Arabidopsis thaliana: one gene and its partner. The protein of the gene in region 1 interacts with the protein of each later gene in a pairwise test. Each region holds a gene or a part of one and is shown on either strand. Other genes may lie near its edges.

Region 1 (3,708 bases):
GAACTTGAGAGCAGCCCACACTCCGATCAGGCTTAGAATAAATGCTGTGAGTTGTAGTGTAAGATGAACCAGTTTTTTCAAGTTCTTTGTACCTTGAACTGACTTATATGCTAACATAGCTGCATAAGTTGAAGGTACCGTTCATGTTAGAAACGAAAACATGTCCATGGTCTCTTTACCGAATTAACAATGCCGTAACTAAAAACAAAAAAAACTAATCCTATGAGTCCTAAACCTCTTGACATAAAATTTCAATGTACTCAAATGTTAAAAAGGGCAATTCAACAGTTCAGTCTCTTTGACAAATGAAGTATGCGGAAATCGAACATGAAAACCGATACAACGAATACTAAAACCTCTTGACATTAGAATAGTCGCCAGACGGTAATATACTACAAATTTGAAGTCTAAAATATGAAGTTAAGACGGTAATATACTACAAACTCTTAACATGTGAAGGAGATTGTTTGCTTACCTTCTCCATTGAAGAGTATGAGTCCAATCACCATCATCACTGGATGAACCTAAAAACAAAGACATTTGACATCATCAGATATATATCTACCAATGATGACATTATACATCCAAATATGAGTCTCAGATCATAGCTTGTGATCACACAGAAAAGTAAAATCCAAATTTCAATATCTCAACAACACAATCAAGAAATATGAATCTCAGATACAGCAACAAGAACATTTCATCCAATCCATTTCACATGTGAGTCAAAACAACAATCGAGAGAATTACATTAAAGATGTGATCTTTGTTATCAGAAGAAAGAGCTAAGCCTCCTCTGTAATGAACAGTCCATGTCAAAACCAAAGCCGCGATGATGAAACCCAAAACTCTCACTACCATGAAGATCGGAAATCCACCCAGCACCGGAACCGCCATACTAAGCCCAGAAAATGCGAGTCTTTTATACGGCGATCAAAATCAGGATGAATTAGGGCTAGGGTTTTAGTTTTTAGTCGAATTTTGGGGATTTCTGAATCACCCCCTGTGTTTTAGATCGGCAATTACTCGACTTTGAGTTTGAGGTCAACCAGAGTGATTTGCCAGAAATATTATTTTTATAAGATTTTTTAATTATTATTAGTAATTTGATTTAAGGGTAAAAAAATGGAGCTTTGTGTCACTCACAAAACTGATTAGAGTAAAGATCTTTTGTTTATGTCTACTTTGCCTATTTTTATTTTTATTTTGAGAGAATTACAATGACACACACCCATAGATTTTTATTTCAGAGGCAAAACAGTATTGATTAATATTGAATAGTAAAAAAGATGAAATTCTCCAAAAGTATCTCTTTGTTATGAAAAATAAAGAAAGTGTGGCAAAGTGTAAGTCTTCCGGTCGTTAACAATGTTTTCTTCTGCTACCATGTAAGCTTTGTTAACTTCATAATCACATTTTAAGAGTGATACTACATTGTTGATCTTGTGATTAGAAAGAATAAACACGATAATGTGAAGAACCAACTATATATTTGTTTGTGTCTCTCATAATAATCTGACAATTTTTTTTTTGTAGAATCTAAGAAAATAATTATAAAACAAAATAACTAAAAATATCGCTAAATAAATATGAATGATAAGAAAATAACTAAAAATTATCAAAATAAAAATAAATAAATTATCTAACGTTCTAATTAAATACTACACTAATAAATAAATACTAAATTTGTTTATAAAATTAATAGTAATATAAATAATTTGGAGGCAAAATTTAGTTATTTTATAAATTTTGTTTTTAAACTATTAAAAAGAGTCTTAGGTAATTCTTTTTTTGTTTTTTTTTGTTTTTGTGTGGCGAAGGTCCATAGAGCATAGTTGAAATTATATATCTATTCTTGTCCATCTTTGAATAATTTATCATCAATAATGTTATGCTTGTACATAAGCAAATAAGAAAGGATGAAAAAAAAAAAAAAAAGGGGATTCTGGTGGATGGTTAGGCTTAGCCCATATTACGGTCCATGTGGTTTAATCGGTTAAGGAGGATGATATGGGGTTTCGATATTTCCTTTTTCATATGAGATTCGATAGTCCCTTATATATATGAGACTGAGAGATAGAAGAAGCCTTCACTTCAATTATCTGAAAATTGAGAAAAAAATCAATCAGAATGGTGAAAGGCACGAAGAGAAAGATTGCGATTGAGACGATACAGAAGAGAGATTCCCTTAGGGTTACCTGCACCAAACGCCGTAAAGGTCTCTATAGCAAAGCCTCTCAGCTTTGTCTTCTCTCCGACGCACAAATCGCTATCTTAGCGACTCCTCCTTCTTCTGAATCCGACGTCTCTTTCTACTCTTTCGGTCACTCCTCTGTTGATGCCGTTGTCTCTGCTTTTCTCTCCGGAAAACGTCCTGTTTCGGCTCCGAAGGATAACAAAGAGACGAGGGAGGACGTTGGTATCTGTTTGACTCGCAAGAATCTAGGGTTAGGGTTTTGGTGGAATGACGAGAGCCTTGTGAGATCGGAGAATCCTCAAGAGATTAGTGAAGCGATCGGTTCCATGTGGACTCTGTTGAGTAATCTCAAGGAGTTGCGTGCGGATGAAGCTTGCGTTAACGATCACAAGGACTTGAAGAAGAATGAGAAGAGCGATGTTCACGGAACTCAAGATCAAACCCTAATTTTTCAGTCCGCTTCTGCAGTTTGTTGCATCCCTGAAAATCTCAACGATATTACTCAAGAGCCAAATCAAACCCTAGATATTCAGTCCAGTAGTTCTGCAATCTGTTGCGTCCCTGATAAATCACCTGAAATTTTCAATGAAATCACTGAAGAACAAGATCAGATTCTCTCGATTTGTGAAACTTTTTGTGTTACGGATAATAACAACAACAACAACAACAACGCTGCTTTACCTGAAGTTAACCTATATTACAATCAAGACATGGCTATTGATCAACTCATTGACTTCAACACCCCTTTTGAAAGCTCGATAGATGATTGGTTTTCGGACAACACTACTCATCAGGAGACGACTAGTGCAAGTATTTTGAACGATGTTGGTGTTGATGATCAAGTCTCGGTGGATACAAATCCGTTTTCTTATTTTCAAAGCCTTGAAGATGCAGATTTGGTGTTTCAGAGATGTTTGGATGGAGATAATCTACGATTCTCTGATTGTTTCAATGACTTTGCAAACACTATTGCAGCAGTTTGAAGATAATCTCTCTGCAGTTTTCAAATCAACTTCTCTTTGTTATCTGTATGTATTGATTCTATTAGAGATTTATTTGTTCTAGCAATGTAATGAATGATCTGGTTTGACCTCGATCAGTTTTCCATATATGTATGAGGGAAATTGATCGAACTCAAACTGGTTCTCTGCTTCATCAGTTTGGTTTAATGATAATATTTGTGTTCTGTTTCTATGTTTTGTATTTGTAGTTTTAAGTCCAACAAACTCATGTCTTTTTATAAATCTTAATCGGATAAAAAAAAAGGAAATGTCTTTAATTTATGGCAAAATTGGTAGCTAACCAATGAGTATGATAAGAGAATCAGGTGAAATTTCGATTATATACATAGAGTTAACCAACTGGTATGCAATTGTATCATTTACACATTCTACAAAGAAATTGCCACTGAATAAACTTCAGGTTCCTCTGTTTCATTCTTAAAGTCTCAGAGTGGGGACCAAGATCAACATGATACAAAGTGATCAAAGCTAGATTATGTTCATTCATGC
Region 2 (3,573 bases), on another chromosome or scaffold:
GAGACAGTATTTTCACCTTTGGGGTTCCTGGTCTAGGAACACTGTTGTTGAATCCAAATCTTTCTTTCTTCTCAAATGCCTTAAGGATTTGAAATGAACATGTTAAGCTATCATCAACACTCATCAATGCACCAGCATTGTCAAACTCGCCACAGTAATTGGGTGCAGAGAATTTGTCTTCACGAAATCAGAGCTACTTTCCATCTTCATGTATATATTAGCTGATTCAGACAAGAAGGATACTAAGTTACAAGTTTGTTATAAGATGCAAGAGTAAAGGATTTCACTTTGCAGGTTGTATCAACCAATTGAAACAGTCTTGTCACCATAAGTGATTTTAGATTATAATTTGTTTCATGCAAGTTTTTGTGAAAGACTTTTATGGAAGTTCATATATATATATATATATATATATATAATACTAACTGAAATACCAACTTAAAAGTAAAAACAAAATCTCCACAAATGGATCTGTTTTACAGTTATAACAACACTGTAAAATAAAAAAAGACAGTAGCAGGAAGAATTCAGAAGCAAAAACAGCTTCAATCTCTCTCTGATCAGCTTCCTACTTATAAGTATTGACTGACTCTTAATGAAGCTTCAAAAAACAAATCCTTTTGGACAGATTTGTTAGCAGAGAAGTCTTGAGTTGTCAGAAAAACAATAGCTGTTAGGAATGTTGTGGAGAGGTGGCAGAGAAGATGTCTGTAGCAAACTGCTCCCATCATAGCTCGAAAACATATCTTGAGAGAAGCTAGTGTTACCATAAGGGAATTCATGTGGAACAGTGTTTGAGAGATTAGGATGTTGTAAACCGTTGTTGTTATTGATGATTTCACTCATCATACACAAGTTCTGATCAAAACCATGAAGCTGATCCTGTTGCTGCATCAAGTGATTATTCAACCCGTAGTTATTCGCCGAAAGTAACGGTGAGTAGTCTTGTGTGTTTGACACGCCAGGATGTTGAAAGTTGTTGTTGTTGGTGATGTTGTCCAAACACATGTTCTGACCAAAACCATGCTGCATCTGGTAATTGATGAGTTGATTGGATTGTGAAGCAGACAGTGGGAGTTGTGAGAGAGTAGCATCTCCATGGTTGTACATATACAGCGAGAACTTGCTAGGATCCAAGTGTTGTGTCTGGTTCAGATACGATGGTGTTAAACTCTGATGCACCAAGTTTGTGTTCTGTTTTTTCTGCGACTCAACAATACGAAGCCTTTTTTGGAGAGTAGAAAGTGTTCGTTCTAAGGACTGAATCAATTGAGAGAGTTGTTGAGGAGAGTAATGATCAAAGTTTGGATACCAATTAGGGTTCTTCACATAATTCGTCTTCCCCTTATACTTGTCTTTGTCCTTCACCTTCTCTTTCTCGAGGAACTCATGAAGATTGAGGCACTTCTTGCGTTTTCTGTCCTCTTTATACCTCAAAGCCATATTTTTCACTGTCTCTCTATCCTTAGGCCATGTTCTCAGATCACCGTCTGGTCCGTAATAGATGACGCAAACGTCAATAGCACAGAGAATCGAAAGCTCTTCTGCTTTCTTAAAGATTGTTTTAAGTCTGTTTGTTAAACTTGTTGGATTACATGACGAAGAAGAAGAAGCTTGCTTCATCGTGATTTTGCCTTGATTCGCCAAGCAAGAAACTAGGGTTTTTTTTTTCTCCGACAGAGAGATAACACACAAAGAAGAAGCAGAATTGTGGAATTGATGGTGAAAGATTGTGAAACTTCACTCAATATGTTTATATAGATTGCCTTGGTGCCTACGGGAACAAGCATACGCGTCGGCGACGCGTGAAGAAGATAAAAGCAGTATCTATCCTCAAATCTAGGTTACCTCTTCTCTTATTATTTAGCTTATAGTATATATTACGTCAAATAAGATAATTGTTTTTCAAGTTTCATTTTATTATTTTTATAAATTTTACGTTTATGTTTTTAGAATATGTTTCTAAAAGGTTAGTTGTATAAAACCCAACTTTCTTCAGTTGAAAATGCTGTGAACATCTTCCACAATTTTTACAAAAAAAATCTAAACAAAACATAATGTTGCCTCAACCATAAGAAAACAGATAACAATCTAACAAAACAAACTGTTTGCCTTACAAAATTCGAACCCGTCGGTTTCACTCGTTTCTTGAACCCATCGACGACGAGTTAACGACCTTTTCCACCCTGCAAGAATGTTAACATATCAAACCTGATATCTAACATCTACCTACATTGCATCTATATACAGGGGGATAGTATTTTCACACCTTATGAGGTGGGGTTCCTGGTCTAGGAACATTGTTGTTGAATCCAAATCTTCCTTTCTTCTCAGATGCCTTAAGGATTTGGAATGAACATGTTAAGCTATCATCAACACTCATCAATGCACCAGCATTGTCAAACTCGCCACAGTAATTGGGTGCAGAGAATATTGTCACTAGTTGTCTCTTTGCAAAGAACTCGTATCCATCTTCTACAACCTGCAGGAACAGTATAGTTAAGTAAAACTTGGCTTGGTGAAAAAACTACAGATCCTTGCATTAACAACTGAGTTATGATTTCTTAACCCTCTGAATTCAGAGAACAGTCACAGAGAAGAACAAACCAATCCAGAGAAATCAAAAGAGAGAACTCAAGGAATAAATTTTAGCTTTACCTGATGAGCTCGGCATATAAGATCAAGGTCATGAGTTTGAAGGAACTCAGCTACTTTGTCAGCCCCAAATGTATAAGAGACACCTCTGTCATTCTCCCCCCAGCCTTGAATCTCTCTGTCAGGATCAGCCCACAACAAATCACAAAGAATGCCCTGATCAGGAACGTCAATAGGACGAGGAATTCTCCTGATGTCATCTAAGCTCTTAATATCAGGCGATAGTCCACCATGCATGCAGAGGATCTTATCATCAATGAGAGCAGAAACAGGCAGACAGTTGAAGCACTCGGTGAATGTTTTCCATAAGCGAACATTATATCTTCTTTTGCATTCATCGTAGAATCCATATACACGGTTGATTGAAGCACATTCGTGATTGCCTCTGAGAAGAAAGAAGTTGAACTTGTATTTGACCTTATAGGCAAGAAGAAGGCATATCGTCTCTATGCTCTGCTTACCACGATCAACATAATCCCCAAGAAACAAGTAGTTCGCAGCTGGTGGATAACCACCATACTCAAACAACCGCAAGAGGTCTGGAAACTGACCATGAACATCTCCTGCTCATCAACATATAAACTTAAAACCATCAACAAAATTACAAATCATACAGTTATGATAGCAACAGAAGGGTTTAATATCTATCATACACCAAATTCAGCAACTAAACAAAACTATTAGCTATCAAATGAAGTAATAAGTCAAGCGAGATACCAACAACTGCTTATGCAACAGAGCTAAGGGACCATGGTTCCTCAAAGACACAAAAGTAAGAGGTCACTACTCACAATTCCGCAAGAAACACTAACTTAAAGTGGCAGAGCATTTAACTAATTCACAACATACACATCTTCAACCATTTCAATGTACACTTATATCCCAAAAATCTAAGCTTTAAGCTTCCCAAACAACAAA

Evidence for each region. Proteins that work in one complex are often made in the same cells at the same time.
Region 2: the proteins of AT5G38620 (region 1) and AGL52 interact in a two-hybrid assay, tested with the Arabidopsis thaliana proteins (one large-scale study listed by BioGRID).

What each region holds. Positions count from the first base shown.
Region 1 is NC_003076.8:15,463,330-15,467,037, reverse strand, and holds AT5G38620 (MADS-box transcription factor family protein), read left to right. Parts: upstream 1-2,130; coding exon 2,131-3,180; downstream 3,181-3,708. Other genes in the region: CYB-1 (cytochrome B561-1), read right to left, coding at 1-119, 476-524, 751-897.
Region 2 is NC_003075.7:6,847,628-6,851,200, reverse strand, and holds AGL52 (AGAMOUS-like 52), read right to left. Parts: upstream 1,624-3,573; coding exon 634-1,623; downstream 1-633. Other genes in the region: TOPP7 (Calcineurin-like metallo-phosphoesterase superfamily protein), read right to left, coding at 2,169-2,186, 2,270-2,482, 2,659-3,218.